5 linked regions of the Macaca mulatta genome follow. The protein of the gene in region 3 interacts with the protein of the main gene of each other region in a biochemical or structural test. Links are inferred from orthologs where the notes say so. Each region holds a gene or a part of one and is shown on either strand. Other genes may lie near its edges. The genes, in order: ELK1, MAPK8IP3, MAPK9, JUNB and ATF2.

Region 1 (6,270 bases), on a different chromosome or scaffold from region 3:
TGTATGTGTAGGAAGTAGGGATGGAGTTAGCGCCGGCCCAGGCGCCTGGAGGCCGGAGCCAGTTCCCGATCCTGGGGTCCGTTCGGGTCCTGGCCCACCTAGCAGGCTTGGGCTGAGTGGAAGCTCTAGGTCCCGGGGCTTCCGGCCCTTTTGTGGCTGGGAGATCTCAGGGCTGGAAGCCACGTGGCCGCCCGCCTGCCCTGCGGTGTCCATAACAACCGCGGGCAGCCGGGCTGGCACGCCCTCCTGTGGAGGGACTTCTGGCTCGGCCTTGGTAGTTTCCGGCACAAACCCTCTCTCCCTGGCAACTTCCAACTCTTCCTTGGGCCCTTCCACTTTCACTTCTGGGGGCAAAGCCCGGCCCAAACCTGGCTCCACATTCAGCTCTTCCGATTTCAGGTTTGGGGCCTCGGGCGGAGTCAGGATGACCTGGGAGAGGAGCAGGTACAAAGAGGGTAAGGATTGTTGGGGCCACAGGATTCTCCTGTGGGCTACCCAGTGATTTCCCCGGGAAAGTGGCACTTGGTACTGGGGACATCAGAGCAGGTTCTCCAACAGGACATAGGACTTCATCAAGGAAGTAGGGCTTCCTCTGGGGCAAGTCCTCCTATGGGACAGGGGACTTGGGGTAAGACAACCTGAAGCAGGTGGGAATCTGAGGGATATCATCCTCATTCATTAAAACAGTGGTTCTCAAAAATTTACCTTCCTCTGAACCAGCAACATCTGCCTCATTTGGTAACAAGTTAAAAATACAAATTATTGGGCCCCTCCCCAGCCCCACATATTCAGAAACTCTGGGGGTGTGCCTGGCAATCTGTGGTTTAACAAGCCCTACAGGTGATTCTGATGAGCGCTAGAGTGTGAGAACTAGTGCATTAAACAAATATATTTCAGGCACCTACATGTTCGGCAGCTACTAACTGTAGCACAGTATTCTCCCCTTTCTGTCTCAGGGTTTGTGTAGCTCTCTGTCCCATCCCTCCTTCTAAGAGGATGTCTGTGTTCTTCCTTCCACCATTATCTCCTTTAACAGGAGCACTATGTCTCTTCTACCAGCCTCCCTCATCATCCGGGGATTACACATCCGTCCTCTTTACTGCCTCCTCTTACTGGATTTCTATATTCCAGTCCTTACCTGCAGAGGCAAGCCGGCTTCCTCAGCCTCCAGGCAGGCCTCCAAGGGGCTTGGACTGGTGCTCCTGCTCCCCGAGGGGGGCGCTGCTGCTCCTGCAGGAGCTGCATTGGGGAGCACCACAGCAGGCCGAGGATGAGGGGGTGGCTGTGGCTGCAGAGACTGGATGGTGAAGGTGGAATAGAGGCCCGAACGCATGTACTCGTTCCGGCTGCTGCGTGCCAAACCACCCGGGCCTGCCATTCCTGCACCCTTGGGTGTGCCTGGCTTTCCAGAGGCAGTGTCCCCTGGGGTGGCATGTACAGCAGCAGGGGCCACATTTGGCATGGCGGAGGTAACAGACACCTCTGGCTGGGGCGGGCAGTCCTCAGTGGAGCACCCTGCGACCTCAGGATAGGACACAAACTTGTAGACGAACTTCTGGCCGCTCACCTTGCGGATGATGTTCTAGAAAGGGAGGAGAGGAACAGAGGGCCTGAGAGGAAAGGGGCAGGCTGGAGGCAGGGTGTGTGTATGTTGGGGTGGAGTGGTGTTTCTCTTCTCCTAGTGGCTCTCTTCCCACTTGCCCCTCTCTGGCTTTCCTGTCCCTCCTCTGTAAGTTCCCCTCTCAGCCTATCAGCCCATTTCCTCTCCCGTTGGTTTCTACCTCTTTCCTCTCCCCCTAGATTCCCCTTATCTATACCCCTCCCTAGTTCCTCCCCTTTCTCTCTTCTCTCCACAACAATTCTTTCTTTAAGCCCCTTCCCATCCACCCCTTTCCAAGCCTCCCTCTGTCACTCTCCAGGTCTATCTATCTGATTTTCCCACCCCCTCCACACTGTGGCTCCTCTTCACAATGGGGCCCGTGAAGGGAAGGTAGTAGGTGTGGGAGCAAGTCTTCTTGGCTCCAAGAACCAGGGGTTCACAGGCCAGGCCTTGTGGGTGACTGTCAGGACACAGTTTTGGAGACTAGCAAATGCAGTAAGACAAGAAAATGAAGTAACTGATATAAATGTTGGAAGAAAGTAAATTAATATAGATGGATGGGGCGATGAATTATTAATACAGAGGATTATTTGAAGCTAATGACACAGAAGTGGAATAGGGCAAGGTCACTGCAGAGGAGAGGGCGAGGAGGCCTCATTATTAATACCACTGTGGAGGTTGAAGCTAAAGCGGTAAGAAAATGAAGTAACTAACAGCAATTAGACAAGAATATTAAAAATACTGGTATAAATATTGGGAGAGGGCCTATATCAAGGCTGGCTTGGGTGGGTCACAGAGCATGTTTGGGGTTTTTCAGGTCTGGTGGGTCTCAGAGATGACCTAGCGTTCCCAGAGGGCACAGTGAGGGAGCCTCATTACTAATATTGTTCTGGAGGGTTGAGCTCAAGGAATAAAATATGAAAGTGGAATAAATGCCATAAACTATGAAGGGTATGCAGCATAGGTCCAGGGCTGTTCTTGGGGGCACGGGCAAGAGGAGTGTGGGAGCACTAGGGCATTCTGCGGAAGTCTTAGTGCTGGTCAGATATGTCACAGGGTGGGCCCGTGTTTCTCAAAAGAGGAACGAAAAGGGATATTCATGAATATTGTTTGGAAGTTTCAGCAGGAGGAATAAGAAGATGAAATAACTTGTATAAATATTGGGGGGAGGGGAAACCCAGCAGTGGCCTGGGGGTCTGAGAGGGCAGAATGGGGGAAATTTTAAATTTTAGCTGTAGGAATAAGATAATGAAAACAATTGATATAAATATTGGGGTAGACCAGTGCTGCTCTGGGAATTTAAGAAGATAGGGTGTGGAAGCTGGTACTAAACATGTTGTTACAGAGGTTTTAGCTTAAGGAATAAGAAAATAATTGGTTAAAAATGTTGGGGTCCCAGAGGACAAAGTAAGCAAAAGTTGGTATAATACTGTCAGGGAGGTTTTGATTCTAGGAATATGAAATATTCTGGAATAAGAGAAGATTATGAAATAACTAGGGAAGCCCAGCACTGGTCTAGGGCTTCCAGAGGACAGAATGAGGACCAGCCATTATTAACCATGTTTTCAAAATGTTGGCTATAGGAATATGACACGAAAATGAAATGCGCATGGCAGGGCAGCATCACTGTGGGGATCTCAGAGTGGGAGTAGGAGTCAGTATTAATAATGCAATGATGGTTTTTGCCAAAGCAGTAAGACAAGAAAGTAGGTGAGATAGTGCTTAGGGGCCCAATACTGGCCTGACAGTACCAATGGATGGGTTAAAAACTGATAAATTTTAACATTGTTTTCAAAGTCATAGCTATGGCAATCAAAACAAAATAAAATCTCTGACATAAATGTTAGGGGGGGTCCCAGCCCTGGTCTGAGAGACTGTACCTTGTCATAGTAGTACCGCAAGGCCCGGCTGAGCTTGTCGTAATTCATGTTGGTCTTGTTCTTGCGTAGCCCCCACAGCCGGGCCACCTCCTCTGCATCCACCAGCTTGAATTCACCACCATCCCGTGAAGTCCAGGAGATGATGTGGCCATTGCCTTGCTCTCTCAGCAGCTGCAGCAGAAACTGCCACAGCGTCACAGATGGGTCCATCGCTGGGGGAGTGCTCACGCCATCCCAGGGGTACCTGGAGGGCAAACAGCTGAGTTGAGAGGCTGTGGACATAGGAGGGGCAGAGGTCAGGGGGAGGAGGATTCCTTTTTTTGTCATCTTTTCTCCATCTCTGTCCTCAAACCCTACCATCATTCCCTAAACATTCCCAGACTAACTTCTAGCTCCCCAATCCAGCTTGGGATGCTCCCTGTGATGGGATACAACTCATGAGTATCTTAGGATGGTGTGAATGTATTTTGCCTGTGGGACAAATGTGAATCTGTGGCGGTCAGAGGGCAGACTGTGGTAGGCCAGATGATGCCACCCCTGTTCCACATCCTAATCCTTGGAACCTGTATGTTATTTATACTACGTAGCAGAAAAGAACTTTGCAGATGAAATTAAGGTTACAAACCTTAAGACAGGGAGATTATTTCTGGATTATTTGATTAAATTCAATCTAATCATATGAGCTCTGAAAAGCAGATGATGAAGAAAGAAAGGTAGCTCAGAGATGTGATGACAGAAGAGGCAGGGGAGATTCAAAATGTGAGAGGGACTCAACCTGCCATTGTTGGCTTTGAAGATGGAGGAAGGGGGCTCAGAGCCAAGGACTGTGGGTAGCCTCTTAAAGCTGGGAATGGCCATCAGCTGATAGACAGTAAAGAAACAGGGAATTCAGTCCTACGACCTCAAGGAATTGGATTCTGCCAACAACTTGAATGAGCAGGAAATGGATTTTCCCCTAGAGCCTCCAGAAGGAACACAACCCTGCCAATACCTTGATTTCAGCCCACTGAGACCAGTATGGGACTTCTGACCTATAACAATTTTTTTTTTTTTCTGTGGACTCTCAAAATTCTCCTCAGGTCAACAGGTATAACAGCTATAAATATAACTCATTATTTAAAAAAAAAATTTTTTTTTTTGAGACGGAGTCTCGCTCTGTCACCCAGGCTGGAGTGCAGTGGCGCCATTTTGGCTCACTGCAAGCTCCACCTCCCGGGTTCACGCCATTCTCCTGCCTCAGCCTCCCGAGTAGCTGGGACTACAGGTGCCCGTCACCACGCCTGGCTAGTTTTTTTTGTATTTTTAATAGAGACGGGGTTTCACTGTGTTAGGCAGGATGGTCTCGAACTCCCGATCTTGTGATCCACCTGCCTTGGCCTCCCAAAGTGCTGGGATTACAGGCGTGAGCCATTGCACCCAGCCACAAATATGTTATTTTAAGCAGCTAAATTTGTGATAATTTATTACAGCAAGAATAGAAAATTAGTTCCATCCCCCTTATTTGAGTGTTATCTGTATCTTCTACATACCATATAAATTCTACCATATAAATGTTAAGTTTTTCAGGTTTTTTTTGCCAGAGCCTTGCAAAGGCTGCTCACTCCACGTGGGGCTTCCTTCTTCTGCCTAGCAGTCTTTCTCATCTTTCAAGTTCCACCTTGAAGGTCCTTTCCTTTATGAAGCCGTCCTAAAACTGAACGCCTGATCTCTCTGTCCTGTTACTATCCCTGAATGTTCTCTTTGTTTTTTTTTTTTTTGAGATGGAGTCTCTCTCTGTCGCCCAGGCTGGAGAGCAGCGTAGTGGCACAATCTTGACTCACTGCAACCTCTGCCTCCCAGGTTCAAGTGATTCTCGTGCCTCAGCTTCCCGCATAGCTGGGATTACAGGTACCCACCACCACGACCGGCTAATTATTGTATTTTTAGTAGAGACATGGTTTCACCATGTTGGCCAGGCTGGTCTTGAACTCCTGACCTCAAGTGATCCACCCGCCTCCCACCTTGACCTTCCAAAGTGCTGGGATTACAGGTGTGAGACACCATGCTCGGCTCTGAATGTTCTCTTTCTCGATGACAGCAATAATTAACATCTACTGAGAGCTTAATACACATCAGGCACTGTTCTAAGCAGAGGCAATATGACCTGCTGGACAACTGCCCAGGCACTAGGGCCAGACTGCCAGTGTTTGAATCCTGGTTCTGCCACTTATTAGCTGTGTGACCCTGTGCATATTCTTTTTCTTTTCTTTTTAGAAATGGGGTCTCACTACGTTGCCCAGGCTGTTCTTGAACTCCCAGGCTCAAGCAATCCTCTCTCCCTGGCCTCCTAAAGTACTAGGATTATAGGCATGAGGCACCACGCTTGGCTGATATTCTTTAACCTCTTTGTACCTCAATTTTCTCATGTGTAAAACAGGGATAATGATATGCCCATTGCTAAAATGGGGATAACAATACCTAGTTCATGAAGATATTGTATAGATTAAATATTATATGCCTGAGGTATATGATAAGCTCTAAATATTAGTTTCTGATTTGTTCATAGTCCCTTATCTGCTATTCCAAAATCCAAAATGCTCTAAAAGCAGAAAGCTTCTTATACCTCTTTTGGCAGCAAAACCTGATTTGAAATGAAACAAGGCCCTTTCTGGTCTTTATTGATTCTCACTTAGTGTGAGAGTGTTCATACATTTTGCTGCATAAATATGAACACAGCCGACTGCAGAGCTTACTAAGGGGTGTTATGTAACATCGTATATGCATCATGTTACCTTCCTGAAATCTGAAGAA
Region 2 (5,129 bases), on a different chromosome or scaffold from region 3:
AGCACCGAGGAGCCCATGCTGAATGTGCAGAGGACACGCATGGAACCCTGGGACTACCCTGCAAAACAGGAGGACAAAGGAAGGGCCAAGGGCACCCCCGTCTAGAATGCCAGAACCAGAGGGTGGTCTGAGGGGCTGTGAGGCAGCAGGGATCTTGTAGATGAAAGAAACCGTCTTCGAGTTACACCCGAGTCTGCCCCTCGGAGCTGGGAGGTCACCTTCCGCGACGTTTTCTGAGGATCTGCATTTTAGTGGGGAGGGCTGGGGCAAATCGCCACCTATGTTTTTCCTCTGGCCCTGCTGCCCCCACACCAACTCCGCAGGCTCACGCTGGGGAAAGCGGGAAGCGCTAACTCCCCTTCCCCCATTAGTGCTCTCTTTGCCTGGATCCCGGCAGAAGCTATGAAAGGGAATAAAGAGGAAAGAAGTACCCCGGGTTGCGGTGTCTGCGCGCTGTCTTTAGGACCGGGGAGAGGAGGGCTGATGTGGTCTTGGCCCTGGCCGGGGGGCGGGGGCTCGGGCGGTGCGGAGCAGGGCGCCGCGTGGGTTGAACCACCTGGGCGGGTTGTGGGGGATACAGTTAGTGTCCGAGCCACTGGAGGAGACTTGGCCTCCGCAGCTGCCCTCTGGCCCCCCACGGCTGCTGGGTTCCGGGGTGCAAGTGAAGCAGCCTCCCTGAGTGCGTCCGCGGAGGCCGCCGCGCCGGGACCAGGCCTCTTTAAGCGCAGGCCCCGCCCCGGGCGCCACCGCCCCGCCCCGCGGAGCCCGCGCCCGCACCGCCATCATGATCTGCCTGGTGCTGACTATCTTCGCCAACCTCTTCCCCGCCGGTGAGCGGAGCGGAGCGGCGCGGGCGGGGGGTGGGCGGCCGGTGCTGGGCCGGTCTGACGCCACGTCCCCGCCTGCCCCGCAGCTTGCACCGGCGCACACGAGCGCACCTTCCTGGCCGTGAAGCCGGACGGCGTGCAGCGGCGGCTGGTGGGCGAGATCGTGCGGCGCTTCGAGAGGAAGGGCTTCAAGTTGGTGGCGCTGAAGCTGGTGCAGGTGGGGGCGCGGGGCGCGGTGGGCGAGCGGGGGCGCGGTGTGGGGGGAAGGGGGGCGGGGACCTGGGGACCTGGGGACGCCTGGGTGCCGGGTGCGGGCGCAGGCGGCCTGACCCTTCCGCAGGCCTCCGAGGAGCTGCTGCGCGAGCACTACGCCGAGCTGCGTGAACGCCCGTTCTACGGCCGCGTGGTCAAGTACATGGCCTCCGGGCCGGTGGTGGCCATGGTGAGTGCCCGGGAAGCGGGCGGACGGCCCCGGGACCCCACCCCTGCGTGATACCGCCCCCGTCCCCCGCACAGGTATGGCAGGGGCTGGACGTGGTGCGCACCTCGCGGGCGCTCATCGGGGCCACGAACCCGGCCGACGCCCCGCCCGGCACCATCCGCGGGGATTTCTGCATCGAGGTTGGCAAGTAAGGCTCGCCCCGGGGACGGGCCCAGCCCCGTCCGGCCTCCCCCAATTCGGCCCTCGTGGGACCCGTGCCGGAGCTCTCTTTCCCGCGCTCACGCGCGCCTCTTCCGTTCAGGAACTTGATTCACGGCAGCGACTCGGTGGAGAGTGCCCGCCGCGAGATCGCGCTCTGGTTCCGCACAGACGAGCTCCTGTGCTGGGAGGACAGCGCCGGGCACTGGCTGTATGAGTAGCCCGGCAGGTGCGCCTCGCAGAGGCTCTGACACCCCAGCCTCCTCCAGGGCCCAGGTGGCCGGGCTTCTGGCCCCACCCCGCAGCACTTGGAACATCCACCTGTCAGGACGTTGCATCGAGGGTGGCGCGGGCCTCTCCAATCCCTGGCGTACAGGGCTTTCTGCCCGAGGAGCTGCTCCAGGAGCCTGCGCGGCTCGCCTGGAAACGTGCCAGAACACTGTCCTGGTGCCCAGCCCAACATGGTCCAACGTTTCTTTTTATAATAAAGTGAAGTCCTCGTTTTCGTGTCGGTTTGGGTCCAGAAACAGACGTTTATTACATACAGAGCAGATATGTGGGTTTGCTTGCAGGGCTAAAGCCTGAGGAGAATCGTCACCCCTCCCCCAGCCGCACCACTGCTCAGCCCGGAGTCACTTCGAGATCCTGGGGGAACAGACGAGGGAGCAGACATACATCACAGTGGAGGTGGCAGGGATGGTGGGGAGAAGCCAGCAGCGCAGTGGCTGCAGCCCACGGTGGCCAGCGGGGCTTGTGGGGCAGCTCCCCAAGATCTGTGCTTCTCTGGTTGGGGGTGGGTGCGGGGGCTGGGCTGCCCTCATCAGGGCCTCCCAGACAGGAGTGCAGTGGGCCTGGAAGGTAGGAGTAGGCCAGCGAGGCCCGGCTGGACAGGGAGAGCAGTCCAGGGTGGCCTCTGCCCGCTACGGGCTTGGAGTCGGCTGGGGGCGGCTCCATCCTCAGCCCCATGGGCCTCTGCTTGGTGGCCTCTTGCTCCCGGGGAGCAGGCCACAGCGGGCAACCCTAGGCACTTAGTAGCGTGTCTGGGAGCTGGGCTCCGTGGAGCCCCGTGCAGGAGGCAGGCCCCAGGAGCACATTATCCCCCATCAACCTGAGGCTGAGCCTGCGTCCTAGGACTGAACCCGGAGAGGCCAGGGGCCTCCCCTTCTTCCTGAGGCCTGGGCCTGCCCTGGCAGCCTGAGAAATCCCACCCTGGGGGCTTCTGGGAGGGACAGGACTCCAAGGCCCACTCCTCCAAGGTGAGTCTTCTGCCCAGGCAGAGCCTGGGGGGACACGGCGAGAGCCTGCCCGCGTGGGCAGGATGGGGTAGCAGTCTCTCTTCTCAAGCAGCTGCCCGAGGGAGCTGGGCCTCGTGCTTTCATGCCAGCTCCCTGGGCAGGGGACAGCCGGAGGGGGGGACAGACAGAGGATAGAGGCTTGAGGACGGGGAGGCCCCAGAGAAGGCCGGCTGGGGTGCAGGCACCTGGGCAGCCCGAGGCCCACCTCCCTGGGCAAAGGCTAGTGCCTGGCCCAGCTCCCCTAGGCAGAGTGAGGGCCCGGGAGGCAGGGTGGCCCCATGAGCAGCATGCAGAGGTGGGCCCAGGGCAGGCAGCCTCGGCGGTGGGGAGCCCCTGCCTCCTCCAGGGGTGCTGGGGAGTAGGAGGCCCAGGGTGGATCCAGGGCCACCTTGGGTCCTGCCTGCGCTGGGCCCAAGGTGCCCTGGACTTGAGGACTCTGGGCTGGAAGCTGGCCAGGAGCCGCCCGGGAAACTGTCCCGAGAGCATCTTCCCCTCGGGTGGAAGCACCCCTCCCTTCTCCTCCCAGCTGACTGGCATCCCCGCACTCCCTGCCCGCCGGAGGGGTGATGGGCATCCCCGCACTCCCTGCCCGCTGGAGGGGACCAGACTCAGGTGAAAGCTGCAGGTTGAGAGGTTAGAAGAGGGGTGGCGGCGCCTGGCTGGCTACCCCGCAGGGCAGGCGGGGGTCAGGTGGTCGGGGGTCCTATGTACAGGTCGGGCCAGGCAGGGCAGTGGCCTCACTCGGGGGTGTAGGACACCTGCCACACGATGATGTGACTGCGCTCCGCCTTGGACAGCACGGGCTTCACCTGGCTTATGTCCCCTGTGCCCTCCTCCGTCTCGTCGTCCTCTCCGTCTCCTGCAGGCAAGGCAGCAGAGTGAGGGCCAGGCTCCCCCCGCGCCCAACCTCAGTCCCGTCCCTGGGCCCCGCTCACCAATGCGGAAGTCGATGTAGCCCTCCCCGCCGCTCAGCACCAGCACGTTCCGCAGCTTCTGACCCTCGGCCTCCGAGGCAGGGGCAGCTGGCCCAGGGCCCTCAGCTGGGCTGTCCAGCACACTCCCGTTCAAGGTGGCCAGCACATTCCCTGGGATGGCAGAAGCGATTCAGGACAGTGGCCTCCTGGGGGAGGCGGCAACCACTGGCGTGCAGGGGATGTGGATGGCAGGAGGGGCCCAGCCTCACCTGGCACCGAGACAAAGAACTTCACAGCATCGCGGTGCCCGTGGAAGCAGAGCTGGGCCTGGGCCATGGAACAGTAAGGGATGAAGCTGCTGGCCGCCCTGTCACTGCTGTCATCGCCGTACACGTGGATGATGCCCCCAGGACGGGCGCCCTCCCCAGAGGTGGGGGATGTCTTATTGGCTGCAGGGAGAGAACCCAGAGGCGCTGAGCCCGCATACAGATGGAGGGTGGGAGAGGCTCCGTGGGGGGACAGGAGGTGGCTGGGCTTACCTCGGAGCCCCAGGAGCTGGCCTCGGTGCAGGACCACAGCTGGGGACACAGGAGGAGCATGGGAGAAGAGGAGAGTGGTCAGCGAAGGGGCAGCGAGGCACCCTCCCATGTGGCCCTGCAGAGCCACCCCCGGGAACCCATGGACACCTCTGGCAGCACCACTGCCCCTGCAGGGGTGCATGCCACTCACTCTCTGTCAGGGGGATGGAGATGACCACTCCGTTGCCGGTGCCCACCCAGAGCCGGCTGCCCGCGACAAGCAGGGCTGTGATGCGCACGAAGGAGAAACCCAGTTTGCCGGTGCCTGTGGGGGGAGAGTGGTCAGGGCGGCTGGCCTTGAGCCCCCCGCCACCCCACCTGGCATGGCCCCTCACCCAGCATCTTGCTGACGTAGGGCTCAATGTCCACGTCCTGTAGGTGCTGGTGCGTGTGTGCGTGGTAGAGCCGCAGGGTGGAGTCCAGGCGGATGGACACCCATACGCCATCGCCGATCCACGCCAGCTGCCGCACCTGGCTCTCCCGCCGCGGGTGGGCGTCAAATGACTTCTGTGGAGTCATGGTTGCCCATCAACAGGGCTGGGGAGAGGAGAGGAAGTGGGGAGCCCCAAACCTGCCACAGCCCCAGGGCCACCTATAGCCCCCTCAGATCTTCTTTGCGCCTGCTTTGTGCCTGTTGGAGCCTGACTCATAGGCAGTATAGGGAGGGTGAGACCCACATGGGGCTTTGTGGACTTCCGTATGGAAGGTGCCGGGAGGGTGAGACCCACATGGGGCTTTGTGGACTTCCGTATGGAAGGTGCCGGGAGGGTGAGACCCACATGGGGCTTTGTGGACTTCCGTATGGAAGGTGCGGGAGAGCTGCTGGCTGGCAGGAGCCTCTTCCCCTCCCTGGGGGCCCTGGCCAGCACTCGCCT
Region 3 (6,139 bases):
TCAACCAATCAACAATGTATGGACCTTATCGTGCTCTACCTTCAAACTATTAAGGAAACTTAAAATTCATGGGGCAGCTGGAAATTTGAAGATTGACTAGTTATTTGATGATATGAAGGAATTATTACTTTTTCACCTTTAAAAGAGTCAGGACCTTTAGAGACCCACCGCAGTGTGCTGTATAACTACTGCATACCTACCGAGCACCCTGAGGTTGTGCCTGTCTGTATAACTACTGCATACCTACCGAGCACCCTGAGGTTGTGCCCATCTGTATAACTACTGCATACCTACCGAGCACCCTGAGGTTGTGCCCGTCTGTATAACTACTGCATACCTACCGAGCACTCTGAGGTTGTGCCCGTCTGTATAACTACTGCATACCTACCGAGCACCCTGAGGTTGTGCCCGTCTGTATAACTACTGCATACCTAGCGAGCACCCTGAGGTTGTGCCCGTCTGTTTTACAGATGAGCCCGATCGCTTCTGCACATCACCCAGATAAGCAGCAGACCCACTGGGAGTCTGACTCAAAGTCCTGATCTGAACCACTGCTCCGAGCTACCCTACCACATGTATTCTCCCGTTTAGCTTTGTCTTTAACAAACATTTCCTGGGCACCCACTGTGTAATTAGCATCCTGAAAAATAATGAATGAAATGACATGATATTTAGGAATTCCTTGAAAATAATTATGGGTGGTAAGTGTGTAAGAGGATAACATTAGAGATGAAACAAGATTGGTCAGGAGTTAATAACTGTTAAAGCAGAACGCTATTCTGTTTAGTTTGTATATGTTTGAAAATTCCCATAATAAAAGTTAAAATTTAAAAAATGATGTTGAAACCGGATCATACAATCAAGTACAAAATATCAGGAATTAATTATTCTGAAGGAAAATTATGGAAAAATGGCACCTTCCTAACCAAGTGTCAGGTATAACTACTGTATGTATGTAGACCAAAAATAGTTGCCCTATTGGCAAATCAATAGTCTTAAGAAGAAAAAAAATCTGGTCTCTGTTTTATGTCTCACGAAAACTGGTCTAGTCACTATTAACTGGTTTGTCTGGTCCTTTTCTTTATCCAGAAAATTAAAAATATTTTATCTTAGACACATTCAAGAATCCCCTCTAATGTTTATTCAGGGAACCAAATAAACAGATTTTAGTCTGTGAACAAATTAATGTTCTGGCACCCTGAAAATTAAATTACCAGGAAAATCAAAGCTGTCCAGAGAAGTCTATGCAAAAATAGTATTGTTTTTAACTCTGCAGGATCCTTTTGAAGAAAAATTTAAAAGTTAAATCAAGGAAAACATTAAATAGATTGGTGGTCATTCTTCCAGAAGAAGTTAAAAGCCAAAAGAGAATACTCAGAGCTGAGGGACTCAGGAAAGAATCCTTATCTAGGGAGAGATCTGGGTTCGGATTCCACTCACCAGCTGCTTGCTAAGAAGCAGACTACTCAAACTCCTGAGCTTCCGTTTCCACAGGGCTCCAGTTACAATCAAATGAGTATCTGGGCTGGCACCTGGGCAAACAGGGCCTGACTCTCCTGGCCTTAGGCTACCTTTCCTGCTCTCCTCACAGCTCCTCCCTCCCACACAGCCACTCCTGGAGGATGACAATCTGCAACCAAGCTGAATGAATCTGTATTTGGCTTGGCTCACAGCATTTAAAAAAAAAAAAAAATTAATTAGCTATTGCCAACATTTAAAAATCGGAACAAATGTGGAGTGCTGCCTTCTGTTTTAGAGACAGGGTCTTGCTCTGTCACCCAGGCTGGAGCACAGTGGTGCGATCATAGCTCACTGCAGGCTCAAAATCCTGGGCTCATGGGATCCTTCCACCTCAGACTCCCAAGTAGCTAGGACTACAGGTGGATGCCACCACACCTAGCTAATTTTCAAAAATTTTTTGTAGAGACAGGGATCTCACTGTTGCCCAGGCTGGTCTTGAACTCCTGGCCTGAAGTGATCCTCCCACATCAGCCTCCCAAAGTGTCTGAGATTACAGGCGTGAGCCATGGCACTAGTCAAATTCCACCTTCTTCTAGAAAACTGCTGGGTAAGGTTCCAGTTCTTCAGAGTCCCCACGACTCTGTGCCCTTACACCTGGCCCTCCAGACTGATTCTCAACTCCACAGTGGGCTATGGTCCTTACCTGGCCCTGCTCCTTCATACCTCTGCCTCTCCCTGCCTAGCAAATTTCTCATCACCCTCAAGGCCCCCCAGCATCACCTGTCACCTCCTCCACATTTCCATGGCATAGCCCCTCCACGACAGCAAGGGTTGCACAGTCCTGGAACTAAGTGTCTGCATGCCTGCCTTCTCTACTGGGCTCCTGGGCTCTCTTCGGAAAGGGACCCTGTTGCTATCTGCCTTGTGTCCCTAGGGCCTAGCAGAAAGCATGACCTAGATAATGCAGAATTCAGTAAATGTCTCCTGCATGTGTGGAAGAAAGCTAGAGCTAAACCATTATAAAAATGTGAGATTTTACATCACAGCTTGTTCCAACGGTTAGCAATTAAAGGGGTCAAGGACACCAAAATGTTTCACAAAATAGAACAAGCTTCCATCTGCTTACAAGTTTCACACGTTAATCAGAAGTCACTAAATTAACAGATAAAGCAGAGACAACAGGGAGACTGGGCCATTTCTTTGATCATTCATTCATTCATTGAGCTGATACTACTGAATACTTACTGTGTGCTTTCTAAGTACTGGGGATAAAGCAGTGGACAAATCAGACAGCTACCTGTTTTCACAAAGTTACATCCTAGTCGGGGAGACAGAAAATAAACAGGCAAATAAATAGAAACGTTTCAAACCAGGTAAGAGCTAGGAAGGAAATTTTTAAAATAATGAAATAGCATGACTAAGGGAAGAAAGAGGGTGGTCGAGGAGGGCCTCACCCAAACCGAGACATCTGGCCAGAGGAAGGAGCAGAAAGAGCTACTTGTGCCAAGATCACAGACAACTCCAAAGACGAGGAAACAGCAAATACAAAGGTCCTGGGGCAAATGCGGGCTGGCATGTTCAAGGCGGGCGAGATGAGTGGACTGGGGCAGCAGTCTTCTGGGAGAGGGGTGTGGTGGTAAGGGATGTGGGCTGGGTCCCCTCTGGCACTGCTGGACACTGAGTGTGCAATGACAAGGCAAGGGAGGCGTGCGTGGGGAGGCGGGAGGCTGGGCGGATGAGGAGGGGGTTCCTACACCACTCACACCGGCAAGGGCCAGCACCCTGCCCAATCTTCCACAAATGTTCACCGGCGTCCTGCCCAGGCGTCTGCATACACTCACACAGCCTGACAACAACCCTGTCCAGAAGAGGCATTTCCCCACCTTCCTGAAGGCAAAACCGCGGCAGAGCGAGGGTCAGTGCCTTGGTCAAGGTCGCGGGGACGCGACCCCGGGCCCCTGGGCCCCCGGCGCAGGAGTGCAGCTGTTCGCCCCACCTCCGCGAGGGATGGCGCCCGCAGACCCCACGGGCAGGTCGGCCGGGCCAGGCCGGGGAGCAGGCCCGCAGCCCGGAGCCGCTGACAGCCGGGCGGAAGGGGGCGCCTGCGGCATCCCCGAGCACAGGGGCGACGGCTGCGGCTGCCAGGGCCCCGCAGCCCCCGGCCCACCCCGAAACCCCGGCCGCGCGGTTCCCCCGCCGCCCCTCCCCGCGGGCCCGGCCCGAGCAGCCGCCGCCAGGCCTAGCCCGCCCGCCGGGCTCACCTCGCCTCCCCGCCGCCGCGCCACGGGGAGAGGGCGGGCGGGCGGACTGGCGGCGCTGCGTGCTAGTCACTCCTGGCTCCGCGGCCCCGGCTCCGCCACCGGCCCGCCCCGCCGCGCTCCGCCCCGCCGCCGCCGCCGCCGCAGTGGGTGTGAGGGGCGCCGGGGCGCTGCGACCCTTCCGGTCCCGCTCCCTTCTCTGCCGCTGCCGCCGCCGCGGCGCCCGGTCTGACCGACCCTCGGGCCGACCAATCAGCGCGCGGAGAGCGGAGCAGGCGCGGCCAATGGCGCCTGGGGGGCGGGCCGCTGGAGGTGGTGTGGGCGGGGCCGGGGGCCGGGTCGGGCGCCCGAGGTCCTGGGCCGGGGTTCCGTGGGTTCGACGCCCCCGGGCCTTTCAGTGGCGTCGGCCGACCGGCCATGGCGCTCGGTTGCGCGCCGCGCACGCGGTGAGCTGGAGACGCAGGCACTGCGCGTCCCACCAGCTGAGCCCGCTGTCCGCGCGAGGGGGCCGCAGCTCGGGGGAGAGGGTGGCCCGGAGGACCGGGAACCGGGCTGGAGGCGCGCGGGGCTCACACCGCGGGGTCCGCGGGGAGCCGGGCCTCGCCTACAGGTGCAGGCTCGTGGCGGCGAGGCGGCCTGGAGCAGCACGGGAGGCCGCCCGTTTCGGGGAGAGCCCGGGGCGATCGCGGGGAGAGGCCGGCCTGGCGTCCGGGAGCCCGGCGTGCTAGGGCCCGGGAGGCGGGGCTGGCCTTGTACTCGGTTGCTCGCTGCGGCGCCGCAGGAACGGGTCTGTGGGGGTGTGGGTGAGGCCAGAAGTCGGGTTGGAGAAGGGGAGGGGGTGCGAAGAGATGGCCGTGTGTAGACAGGTTACCCGATGGGTCGGTGACGCAGGAGGGGAGTGCGCTTGGTGGCGGGGTGACTTAGTTGACAACATTTAAAAATTGGGAGGTGCGGCAGGGCGCGGTGGCTCACGCCTGTAATCCCAGCACTTTGGGAGGTCGAGGCGGGTGGATCACCTGAGGTCAGGAGTTCGAGACCAGCCTGGCTAACCAGGTGAAATCTGTCCCTATTAAAAATACGAAACAATTAGCTGGGCGTGGTTGCGGGCGCCTGTAATCCTAGCTACTCGGGAGGCTGAGGTAGGAGAATCACTTAAACCCGAGAGGCGGAGGTTGCAGTGAGCCGAGATTGCACCATTGCACTCCAACCTGGGCGACAGAGTGAGACTCTGTCTCAGAAAAAAAAAAAAAGGGAGGTGCTCAGTCAAGTCTCTGAGAGGGGTGGGGGGCGGGGCGAGGAGTCCCTTGCTCAGGGCCCCCTAGGGACTGGGACCCGTTGACTCTTGAGTTGCTTTTGAGGCTGGATCAGGTACCAGCGGCCTGGGGGTCGTACAGGATGGGAGAGGCCGGGACTTGGGATGTTGCCAGATCTACGTTGAAAAGTGAAGCAGGAAGCGCGGCACGAGGCTATGCACATGGGGAAAACCGCGGAGAGCCGGGCTTTGGGGACTGGAAGAGTGGGAACAGTGGTTGACAAATGGTGAGTGGGGGGTAGAACAGCAGAAACACAATACCAGTATCCACGGAGTGGCCAGGGCCAGAGTTGGGAGAAGGAACAGGACTCTGCAGATGGGGAGGGCAAGGGGCTGGGTGGTGTGAAGGGTGGTTGCAGACTTTGGGGAGGGCAGCTAGCCTGTGACCCAGGTTCCAAGGGCACTGAGGGCTGGGCCAGGCCGCTTGGAGGCACCAGAGCCTCAGAGGAGGGGTGGGGTAGAGGAACGGATGCAGCATGGTGTCCTCCTTGGCCACCAGAGGGAGTTTGCTAAATCTCAGCATGGCTCATCGCGGCTTGAAATTCTACCTCGCAGTGTGGCCTGCATTGAGGAGGGCCCACACCTGTCCTTACCTCAGACTCACCTGCCACCTGCCTCAGGTGCATGAGAGAAAACAGGAAACCAGAAATTGCCAGGATCAAGGATCATGGGAAAAGAGTAAAAGCCTAGCTGTCAGAGCTGAGGTTCCACCAAGGAGCACTGATGGGTGCTTCTCCTCATTAGGAAGGCTACGCGGTGGCTCACACTTGTAATCCCAGCACTTTGGGACGCCGAGGGGGGTAGACTACCTGAAGTCAAGAGTTCGAGACCAGCCTGGCCAACATGGTGAAACATCATCTCTACTAGAAATACAAAAATTAGCTGGGCGTGATGGTGGGTGCCTGTAATTCCAGCTATTCAGGAGGCCGAGGCGGGAGAATAACTTGAACCCAGGAGGCAGAGGTTGCAGTGAGCCGAGATTGCTCCACGGCACTCCAGCCTGGGCAACAGAGCAAAAACTCTGTCTCAAAAACAAAACAAACAAACTAAAAAAAAAAAAACGGGGACACCAATTTCAAGCACTGCAGGCCTAACTTCATAGCACTCA
Region 4 (5,790 bases), on a different chromosome or scaffold from region 3:
AGCCAGGGCAACATAGCAGACCCCATCTCTACAAAAGTAAACAAAATTAGCCAGGCACAGTGGTGTGTGCCTGTACTAGCTAGTTGGGAAGCTGAAGTGGGAGGAACTGCTTGAGCACAGAAGGTCTAGGCTGCAGTTAGCTATGATTGCACCACTGCACTCCAACCTGGGCAACAGGGCAAGACCGGTCTCTAAAACATAAAAAAGAAAAAGTCGCCCCGTTAAAGGTCCATGTTCCCACTCCATTTTACAAAGCAACTTTCCTCTCTGCCCCATCACTGCCACCTTGACCTGTGTGTGTGTGTGTGTGTGTGGTTTTTTTTTTCCCTCTTACTAGCACTTACCACCACCTCTGAAGAACCATGCTTGCTTGTTTATTTATTGTCTTGTCTGGAGGGGTCCAGACTGTGTCTCCAGGGTCTAGTTGTTCTAGGTATTGCACAAATGAATTGATGAAGTGTCTGTTCCACTCACCTTACTGCCTGTCTAGTTTCTCTACCTGTTTTTCTCCACTGCTCTGGGGGCTTACAGCCCCGAAGCCGGCCAGACTCCCTCCAGGCGTGCCAGCAGCACCCGCACCGGCACCCCCACCCCCAAGTGTCCCAGCTGCGCGGGAGGGAGCCCAGCGCGAGGGCGGTGGCGGCGCCCAGCGGCCCGAGCAGCCGCCCCGGCAGAACCAGACCTGGCAGTCGCCCCGCTCCTGGCCTGGCACCCGGGAGGGGAAGCTGGCAGGCGGGCGCCGCCCTTCCTGGCGGGGGTGGGGGTAGAGGGGAGGGTGTCGGCAAAGCCGCCCAAGCAGCAGCAACCCTCTGCCCCGGTCAGGTCAGACGGAGGGGGCGTGGGCGCGGCGGGGCCCAGGCGCCAGTGTCTTGAAGGTAGCACAGAGGTGGCTCCCGGGGCCCAGGAGCGCTGCCCGCCCACCGCGGGCCCTCTGGACCCAGGCCTGGGGCTTTCCGTGCCCGGGCAGCCGCCTGCCCGGGAAAATCCCGGCCCCCTTCCCGGCGCTGCGGCCCTGCCCGGCAGAGCGGGGGAGGGGATTCCCGGAATCTGCCCAGAGACCGCGGTCGCGTCACTGGGCAGAATCGGTCCTTGTATGGGCAACGCTTCCGCTGCGTCAGCGGGGAAAGCCCCGGCGCGCACTGCTGGGCGGGGCCGCGCCTGCGCGCTCCGCGTCTCGCCCCCAGCGCCCTGCCTTCAGCTACTGTGTCCCTGGACTGCGTCCCGCGCCCCAACCATCCAACCCTGGAGATTCGGGGACGCGGGAAGGGTGGGACTCCCGGGTTGGGACCACAAGATGCCTGCGCAGAGCCGACGAGGGGGACACATACAGGACCGAGCCACCAACAGCACTGAGCTGGGGGCACACCAGTGCTTTTTTTTCCCTCCGCCCTCCCAGCTTGGAAAAAAAGACAACAGAAATTAATAAAGAACAAATTTTTTTTTTTTTACTTAAATAGATTCAATAAAAAGAACAAACACACACACAAACACAAACACGTCTTAAAATAAACTCTTTAGAGACTAAGTGCGTGTTTCTTTTCCACAGTACGTTGCAGAGAGGGGAGGGCAGGGGGCGGGGGTCCCCTTCCCAATGTCCCCGCGGGCTTGAGTACCGGGCGGCGGGGCCAGCTCCGCCGCGATCGCCCCCTCCTCCCCTCCCTGTTAAATACACAAATATATTATATTCAATATGAATCGAGTCTGTTTCCAGCAGAAAAAAAACATACAAAAAAATGTGGAAGGGGGGGCTTGTAAACGTCGAGGTGGAAGGACTGGGCGCAGGGCGGGAGTTCAGTGTGGTTTGCGGCGCCCCCAGGTCCCAGGATGGGTGCCCACCGCCTGCTCCCTGGACCCCAGTGGGAGACGTGCGCCCAGCCGTCCAAGCGAGGGGGTGTCCGTAAGGGGACAGGGGGCGCTCAGAAGGCGTGTCCCTTGACCCCAAGCAGCAGCTGACAGCCGTTGCTGACGTGGGTCATGACCTTCTGTTTGAGCTGGGCCACCTGCTCCCGGAGGAGGCCGGCGGTACTCGACAGCCCCGCGTTCTCGGCCTTGAGCGTCTTCACCTTGTCCTCCAGGCGCGCGATGCGCTCCAGCTTCCGCTTCCGGCACTTGGTGGCCGCCAGCCGGTTCCGCAGCCGCTTGCGCTCCACTTTGATGCGCTCTTGGTCTTCCATGTTGATGGGGGACACCGGCGGCGTGGCGTCCCGGCTGCGCGCCTCCGGCACGGTCTGCGGTTCTTCCTTAAAGGTGGAGGCGCTGCGGCCCAAGCCCAGCTGCGCCGGGTGGCCACCGGCGAAGGGTGGCGCGTGTGGGAGGTAGCTGATGGTGGCCGTCGGGTATGAGCTCCCGGTCCCGACGGCAGCCCCGGCGCCTCCCGAGGACGCAGAGGCTGGGGAGTAGCTGCTGAGGTTGGTGTAAACGGGAGGTGGCTCCGGGCCGGCGTAGACGCCCCCGGGCCCAGCCGGGGGCCCCCCGCTAGCGCCCAGGGACACGTTGGGGGGTGTCACGTGGTTCATCTTGTGCAGATCGTCCAGGGCTTTGACAAAGCCGTCGGCGAAGCCCTCCTGCTCCTCGGTGACGCCGCCCCCTGCGCCCCCCGCACCTCCACCGCTGCCACCCCCGCGGGGGTAAAAGTACTGTCCCGGGGGTGTAGGCGTCGTCGTGATCACGCCGTTGCTGTTGGGGACGATCAGGCGTTCCAGCTCCGAAGAGGCGAGCTTGAGAGACGCGCCGGTGTCCGAGCCCTGACCAGAAAAGTAGCTGCCGCCACCGCCGCCCTCTGGGCCGGGTCCCCGAGCCCCAGGCGCTTTGAGACTCCGGTAGGGGTCGGCCAGGTTGACCGCCAGGCTCGGTTTCAGGAGTTTGTAGTCGTGTAGAGAGAGGCCACCAGGGGCCCGGCCGTATCCCGTAGCTGTGTATGAGTCGTCGTGGTAGAAGGGCTGTTCCATTTTAGTGCACATCCGGGCGGCCCAGGCGGTCTGGGGAGGGTCCCTGCGGGGCCGCCCCGGGCCTCGCTGCAGCGAGCGGCGAGCTCTCCGCTGCGGTGGCCGGACTGGGTGCCTGGTCGCGCGTTCTCGGGGGCTGGCGCGGGCGGGGAGCAGCCAGCCGGCAGCTGTGCGCAAAAGATCTGTCAGGCTTCCCGAGCCCCCGTCGCCCTCTCCGGCGCGATAGCTTTCCTGGCGTCGTTTCCCCCAGCTCCCAGCTCCCAGCTCCCTGCTGGCTCCGAAGCTGGCCTGGCCGCTCTCAAGGTCCCAGCCGCTCAGCCTGAGCCACACGCCTTTATACCGCGCTAGTCAGCCACGGAAGTGCGCTCCGATTGGCCGTCGCCGAAGCCGGGCCCCCGCGCCCCCCTCTTCGAGCGTGGGGAAGGGGAGGAGGCGGCTCGCGTCACTGTCAGGAAGCGCGTGTCCTTGTAAACAGCGGCCACGGGCCGGGTGGCTCGGCGGGCCTGCAGGGGGAGGGGCTCAAAGGACCCCGGGGTACGCATGGAAGGAGGCCTGGGGGCCCAGGCACATGAGTGAGGGGTTTCAGGGAGGAGGATGATTTCATTGAAGTCCACTGGGACAAATACCAGGACCTGGTACGCAGCAAGTAGGTTGAGGATCTCAGGGTGTGCGAAGAAACCCCTGAGGTACCCAGAATACGAGAGGGGTAGGACAATTCATTGGGAGACCCCAAAAAGCAGGAATGAGGGTTAAGCACGGTAAATCGGGAGGGGTAAGGAGACACCTGACCCAGGAATTGACTGGGGGTCCCGAGCATAGAAGGATGCGGGGCTGGAATTTTCACAGGATGGAGGAGGGGAGAGATCAAAAGGGGTGAGTGGGCGGAGCTGCACGACCCATTAAATTGAAAGAAATGAGTAGGGTCCAGGAGCCCATGGGAAGGTCTGAGGGCTCTCCCGTAATTGGGAAGGAGGAATTAGGGGAAATCTAGGTATGCAGAAAGCGAGTAAGCGTCCTGCGGTACACTGAGGCAGGTAAAATATGCAGGGTAGAAGATGGAGACAAGTCTGCCAGAAACTGGTGACCACTGGGGTCATCTGCGAAGCCCGGATGAAGGAGAGAGTCAGAAGGGTCCGGACACATCTTCGGAGCAGAGAAGACAATAAGAGGGTACTCAGTTGACATGCGAGGAGGGGGCTTTGAGGGTCCTGCGCACCAGGACTGCTGGATCTTCCACGACTGGTGCTCCCCCTCGTGGGTAACCTCCTAGGCATCTGTATTCTCTGTCCCCCATCCTAAAACTCTCCCCTATTGACCCTGGGCTTTGCCCGACACCGTGTCGGCTCCTGGAGCCTGGACCCAGCCCGACGGCTGGGGCGCGGTCGCCCAACCCCACTCCCTTCCTTAGAAACAGGCTGGGGAAAGAGCGCCGAGGCAGGAAGTGTGGCAACAGCCCCGGGGGAAGGAGCCCGGCCCTGTCTCCGTCACTTGGATCCTACGGGACCGTGCGCCCCGCCCTGGGTCCCACCGCATCCTGCGCCTCGGAAGAGGAACCTGGGCGTGCGAGCCCCCGCGGAGGCCCGGGTGCGTGGAGCCTGCCCAGCCACGGAAGCCTCCAGCCACCATCCTCTCCCCTCAAGCAATGGTTCCGCCCGCGGCGCCTGCAGGGGACCGCGGAGGCAGGCAACATGGGACTGTTCCATTGGCCCGACGGCGGGGGACGCAGTCGAGGAGCGGGGCCTGGTCGCCATGGCAACAGGCGGGAGTCCGCAGGCAGGACTGAGGGCGGGGCGGCCCCCGGAGTGTCTCCCCGCCGCCCATATTAGGGCACAGGAAGAGGTGGGACCAGCGCTGTCCTGGGGCCCAGAGCCAGAAGTGGGGAGCCCGAGTATCTGCCAGGACCCAGGGCGCGCCTGGGCCCCCGGACTGCTAGTCCCGACCAGCCCCGACCGCCGCCCCCGGGGCCCCCACGGCCGCCTGGCCCAGCCCCGCCCCGCCCCGCCGCTCTGGGGCTGCGTCCTGCCAGGCCGGGCCTGGCCCAACCCAGCCCGGCAGGTCCCCGCCTGCCCGCGGGCCTGGGTCGGACTTCGCCCCCGGCCCGACGGGGCGCGGAGAGGGCGGGCCGATGCCTCGAGGCGCCCCCGGCGCCTGGGCGGGCTGGAACGGCGGCTGCCTCCTCCCTCGGGTGGGGTGCCCTTCCCTTCTGCCAGGAGGTCTGGGGCTCCTTCCCCAACACCCCGCACTCACTCATGTGGGTCAGGGGCCCCACTCTCGTTTGAGTCTGCGGGTCCCATCCATCCATCATCCAGAATACCTAGAGGGAGCCCCCCCTCCTTCCCTAGAGTGGCTCCTTCATCTGAGGGCTTCCCTCCCCCAGTCAGAGAAGACCTGAAAATCTAAGGGGATAATATAAGGGAACCCAGAGCCCCTTCCCGGGGAAGGGCTGCGGCGAGGTGCAGATGGTGAGGCTTCCAGTTAGACTTAAGGTGGGACTTCCGAGCAGTTTGTGTGTGAACCCACTAGACCAAGAGGTGAGAAGCCTAGTCTCTCTCTCTCTCAGCTTCCCAGGCCTCTGTCTTCTGGAGGATGAAGAGAGCCTGTCTCTTCTTTAGGGTAGAAAGAGGCTAAGGGATAGGGGTTAAACAGCCTTTCTGGGGCAGCCTAGATCTCACCAAGTGTGGGAAAGAGAAGGAAAACGAAAGAGGCGAAAAAGAAACTGAGCTATGTGGGGGCAGGGGGAAGTCCAGCAGTGCAGTGGCCTTGCTGGAGGAAGGTCCCAGCAGAAGCTGGGGGCGTCCCGTCCTTGGAGGGTCCCTGTGACCCCTAAATGCCCCCTCCCTTCTTC
Region 5 (4,692 bases), on a different chromosome or scaffold from region 3:
GAAATTAAGGAATGTTACAAAATCTTTCAAGTAAAGGTGAAAGTACTAAGTCACAGCCATAGGGTCTGTCCCACCCAGTTTTAGCACTGAAAGTCCAACTTCCTAAGAAGACCCCTCAGTCATGGGAAAACCATGACAGTCACCCCAACAGTTAAGTAATATAAAATCTGAATGAAAATAATAAAGAGTACGTTTTAAATATTTGGGTTCCATGAAGAATAAAGCACAAAAGTGATGTTATTGCCATGAATTCACATTCTTCAGACCTGGGCATAATTAAAGTTGTATTATAATTGTCTCTATAATTATAAATTGGAAGAAAAGCTTCTTAGGGACTAATCAACCACAAATACTTTTATTACTGAAAAAATGTATGAGCCAGGCACTGTGGCTCATGCCTTGTAGTCCCAACACTTTGGGACCCCAAGGCGGGAAGATTGTTTGAGCCCATGACTTCAAGACCAGTCTGGGTGAAATAGCGGGACCCTATCTCCACAGAAAGTTTAAAAAAGCCAGACAATTTGGCACACACCTATAGTCCCAGCTACTTGGGAGGCTGAGGCAAGAGGATCACTTGAGCCCAAGAGTTCAAGGCTGCAGTGAGCTGTGATTGTGCCATAATACTCCAGCCTGGGTGACAGGGAGACCCTATCTCAAATAAGAAAAAGAAACTTGTGGACATAGGTAGAGAACTTTCAAGATTACGGAATTGCCAAACAGCTGGTTTCTTTTAGCTTAGGTAGAGCTAGAAGTGGCTCTTTGAGTACACCATGGCTTTCTGTATCTCTCTAGTGCTTGTGATTACACCAGTCATTTTCTCCCCTCACCTAGAACTGGACATAGGTGCAAATATATCACATTGCTTTTACTAATTCTGAAAGTCTGTAGGTAAGCATTCATCCTTTATAATTTACTGTTTTCATTTTGAGTTGTTGCCTCCAGTATGTATTTACATTTCCTTATACCACTCATCACAGATCAGCCTCTTTATTTTTAAAAGCTGGTGTATCCCTTGAACTCAACATTCAGGGAAACGTCAGCCTGTTGTTCTTTTAAAGAATAGTGGTGGGCCGGGCGTGGTGGCTCAAGCCTGTAATCCCAGCACTTTGGGAGGCCGAGATGGGCGGATCACGAGGTCAGGAGATGGAGACCATGCTGGCTAACACGGTGAAACCCCGTCTCTACTAAAAGATACAAAAAATTAGCCGGGCGAGGTGGCGGGCGCCTGTAATCCCAGTTACTCGGGAGGCTGAGGCAGGAGAATGGCGTGAACCCGGGAGGCGGAGCTTGCAGTGAGCTGAGATCCGGCCACTGCACTCCAGCCTGGGTGACAGCGAGACTCCATCTCAAAAAAAAAAAAAAAAAAGAATAGTGGTGAAATAAACAAATAGAGCTTTTTAGTATTCCCTCCAGTTAAACTGTCATTGCCAGTGTTTTGTTTTCTTTGTACATGTAATGATTGGCTATTTTAATATCTGAATTATAAATATTTTATAACATTCATTATTGCTTGATCAGAAAAGTAGAGGGGAAGGGGGGCATTAGTTGAGAAACTACCCATTGGGTGCTATGTTCACTATTTCAGTGATAGGTTCAGTAGAAGCCCAAACTTCTATTGCACAATATACCCGTGTAACACACCTGCATATATACCATCTGAATCTATAATTTTTTAAGTATTCATTCCATTTTGTATGATTTTTAAAGGAATACTACTTCTGGTGGTTGGTTTTGTTGTTGTTGTTTTATTGTACCTTGAGGTCAAGTATCCAGGGGTATGGTTTTGATTTATAGCATGTTATAGAGAAGATGGGGTTCCATCTCATTAATGTATTTTAAAACCTGCTTTTCAAAAATGCATGGATTTGAGGCAGATGTTGAAAAATTCTGTAAAAACTTTATTTCAGAAAATGCACAAGATTAATAATTTTTTTTTAGCTAAAGTTGACACTCTCAGGTATCCCCCTCTGCATCTTCTACATTGCAAATCATAGGCTAAGTCCTGCTTCATAAGATATCCACAATATTTTTTACTAATTGACTTTCAGAATGGGCATCTGGCCATCAGTAAGCAGGCCAATACACATTCTCAGATTTGATTTTAAAAGCCTACTTATTGTCACTTCTGAACACTGAATAAAAAAAAGTTTTAATGCCAAGTGAAAAAAGCAAGGTTCCAAAGAGTACATCCAGTGTGATACTGTTTTTAAAATGTTTCAGAATAAACAGCTGAACTATGTTGCTTAGGGATACATACCTATGTGTTAAAACTACAAAGGAAAAACAAGAGAATGGTTAAAGAAATGTCAGAGTGGTGATTACCTTTGGTGAGGACAGGAACCTCCAGGAAGCAGAAGTGTTAATGGCAGTGTTCTCTCTTAGGTTGGCGGCACGGTTTCCAGGTGTTCATGTTATCATTGTTCCTCATAACTTACATATACTATAAATATTTGTGTGTTATCTATATCAAATTTTTACTAAATGAAATTACTGTATTCTGTTCTATTAAAATAAGGGTGTAAGACTTGTTCAGGTCTAAGTATTTGCAGATTTATTTTTGTAAATACTTAGAATGCCTTTTCCTGAGTATCTTTTCAGTTGCAATGTTTAGAGTTTTGTATGGATTTTTACTTGAATCCCAATTTATTCATGCAACTATAACAGCTGGTGGCATTTAGATTCTAAATATTGCTTATTCTCATATGTATGCATCATTAGAATCAGGTGTTATAATCATTCATGGCTGCAATAGATGGAAAATCAGCCAGAATAAATACAGTTCTGGAGAATGCAGAGGGAATAATTTGAAGATGTAATTTGTATGTAAGACTTCATTTTGTTTATGCATGTGGTTATAAATTTTTATCTTATAATAAGAATGACATGTAGGCCAACCAGACTGAGTTTGTTAAATGTGATACTTATATTTGATTGTATCTGTAAGAGCCTGTCTTCCAAACTCTACCTCATTTTCTTTCTTTAACACTATTTAGCAAATATTTCTTCAACTCTATTCCATAAGGCAGTGGGCACCCAGATGTTTCCATATGCATGGTTGTGCCTTCTTTTGACCTATTGCAGGTAAAATTGCCTACTTCATGACCTATATCAATTCCTGTAATACCAACTTGTCTAATCAGTTTTGTAAGATGCTTTCTAACTTTTTACTCCGTATATTGCCTCAGCATAATGGTGCATTCTTACAGATTTTAGGAAAATGAATAATTTTTCTTTTTTTCACCCAGCTGCTGATAAAGATGATAGTTCAGAAGACATTTCAGTGCCGAGTAGTCCACATACAGAAGCTATACAGCATAGTTCGGTCAGCACATCCAATGGAGTCAGTTCAACCTCCAAGGCAGAAGCTGTAGCCACTTCAGTCCTCACCCAGATGGCGGACCAGAGTACAGAGCCTGCTCTTTCACAGATCGTTATGGCTCCTTCCTCCCAGTCACAGCCCTCAGGAAGTTGATTAAAAACCTGCAGTACAACAGTTTTAGATACTCATTAGTGACTTCAAAGGGAAATCAAGGAAAGACCAGTTTCCATTTATGCGAAATCTGTGGTTGTAAATTTTTTTTTTTTTACTTGAAATTAAATTTGGCTCTAAAGTTGGTGTAGCAGCAGTTGATCAGACTGAAAAACAGTTTTTAGTCTCTGGAAAAAGACTGATTTTGCTTTTTTTATAAATATTAGTAGATTTATTAATTTTTCTGTGCTCAATGTGTAAATTGTATTATAATTCATTGTGGTTTATTTCACTTTTAATTTGTTGGTGTTTTAATAAATGGGGGTGTTACTGAATCTTTCTTCCCACTTCCATTTCTTTTGACCACCCCTTAACCCTCAACTGTGATGGTAGTAGTATTATCATTTATACCAAAGTTTTGCATAGTCCCTGTTGACTTTGTAATGTTAACGGAGTCATAAAAGCACTAGGCAAGAGAAAGATAGAAATTTGCTTTTAATCTTTTTGCCTTTTATTTTGCACATTATGCAAAAGGAAAAACATTAAAGAACACTTTTTTTTAAGTGAGTGAAAACATGGTAAAGACATACAGTGCTTTTATGCACATTGTTAAGCTAAATCAAGGTCATTTATAATCATTTTCCTTTTTTATTTAAGGTTTTAAGTAAACAAATTTTAGAATTTTCAGCATTTCAAAAATGATTTTATTTTTCAAGTCTTAAATTCAATATTTTACACCTGTGTTTTGAGGCTAAGAAATATGAAATTATATAATGTATGATACAGGGTTATCAAATATCTAATAATTTTTGAAATTAGCTCTTGTTTTTCATTTTTTTATTGTTGTTTTTACAGATTTCAGGTTACAAACTGCAAAGTTTATGCATAATTAAGTATGGTATGGTTGCCAGAAAAGCCTAAAATTACTACTTAGAAAATTTAAAACTGTTTACCCCCATTGTCTTGTACTTGCGAGCTAACTTGTACTTATTCTTGTGAAAGCACTGTCATCTTTTAGTAGCAAATTTTGATAATGTTTCTCGTGGAAAAAAAATCAGTATCTATCTTTAGAACAATGTAATTATAATGTGGGAAGCGTGCATAAATGAGAGAGAGAGAGTGTGTGTGTCTGTGTATGTGTGTGCGCGTGTGTGTGTGTGTGTGTGTGTGTGTCTTTCAATAGTTTATGCCAGCAATCTTTGCTTGAATGTTTAACGATGCCT

Evidence for each region.
Region 1: of the proteins of MAPK9 (region 3) and ELK1, one has a biochemical effect on the other in vitro, tested with the Homo sapiens proteins (2 studies listed by BioGRID). The link is inferred for Macaca mulatta from reciprocal best matches to the Homo sapiens genes MAPK9 and ELK1.
Region 2: the proteins of MAPK9 (region 3) and MAPK8IP3 form a complex in vitro, tested with the Homo sapiens proteins (2 studies listed by BioGRID). The link is inferred for Macaca mulatta from reciprocal best matches to the Homo sapiens genes MAPK9 and MAPK8IP3.
Region 4: the proteins of MAPK9 (region 3) and JUNB form a complex in vitro, tested with the Homo sapiens proteins (2 studies listed by BioGRID). The link is inferred for Macaca mulatta from reciprocal best matches to the Homo sapiens genes MAPK9 and JUNB.
Region 5: of the proteins of MAPK9 (region 3) and ATF2, one has a biochemical effect on the other in vitro, tested with the Homo sapiens proteins (4 studies listed by BioGRID and IntAct, with this or other methods). The link is inferred for Macaca mulatta from reciprocal best matches to the Homo sapiens genes MAPK9 and ATF2.

What each region holds. Positions count from the first base shown.
Region 1 is NC_133426.1:47,661,276-47,667,545, forward strand, and holds the start of ELK1 (ETS domain-containing protein Elk-1), read right to left. Parts: upstream 3,691-6,270; coding exon 3,481-3,690; intron 1,583-3,480; coding exon 1,139-1,582; intron 430-1,138; coding exon 1-429. UniProt on the Homo sapiens protein: Transcription factor that binds to purine-rich DNA sequences. Forms a ternary complex with SRF and the ETS and SRF motifs of the serum response element (SRE) on the promoter region of immediate early genes such as FOS and IER2.
Region 2 is NC_133425.1:2,991,969-2,997,097, reverse strand, and holds the end of MAPK8IP3 (C-Jun-amino-terminal kinase-interacting protein 3), read right to left. Parts: coding exon 5,128-5,129; intron 4,762-5,127; coding exon 4,590-4,761; intron 4,520-4,589; coding exon 4,406-4,519; exon of another isoform or gene 4,363-4,405; intron 4,255-4,362; coding exon 4,216-4,254; intron 4,150-4,215; exon of another isoform or gene 4,126-4,149; coding exon 3,946-4,125; intron 3,848-3,945; coding exon 3,698-3,847; intron 3,622-3,697; coding exon 3,500-3,621; 3' UTR 1,977-3,499; downstream 1-1,976. Other genes in the region: MRPS34 (small ribosomal subunit protein mS34), read left to right, coding at 1-105; NME3 (nucleoside diphosphate kinase 3), read left to right, coding at 785-830, 914-1,044, 1,168-1,269, 1,344-1,456, 1,571-1,688.
Region 3 is NC_133411.1:189,304,388-189,310,526, forward strand, and holds the start of MAPK9 (mitogen-activated protein kinase 9), read right to left. Parts: upstream 3,927-6,139; 5' UTR 3,723-3,926; intron 1-3,722. UniProt on the Homo sapiens protein: Serine/threonine-protein kinase involved in various processes such as cell proliferation, differentiation, migration, transformation and programmed cell death.
Region 4 is NC_133424.1:13,344,938-13,350,727, reverse strand, and holds JUNB (transcription factor JunB), read right to left. Parts: upstream 3,262-5,790; 5' UTR 2,961-3,261; coding exon 1,917-2,960; 3' UTR 1,420-1,916; downstream 1-1,419. UniProt on the Homo sapiens protein: Transcription factor involved in regulating gene activity following the primary growth factor response. Binds to the DNA sequence 5'-TGA[GC]TCA-3'.
Region 5 is NC_133417.1:80,007,611-80,012,302, reverse strand, and holds part of ATF2 (cyclic AMP-dependent transcription factor ATF-2), read left to right. Parts: intron 1-3,245; coding exon 3,246-3,472; 3' UTR 3,473-4,692. UniProt on the Homo sapiens protein: Transcriptional activator which regulates the transcription of various genes, including those involved in anti-apoptosis, cell growth, and DNA damage response.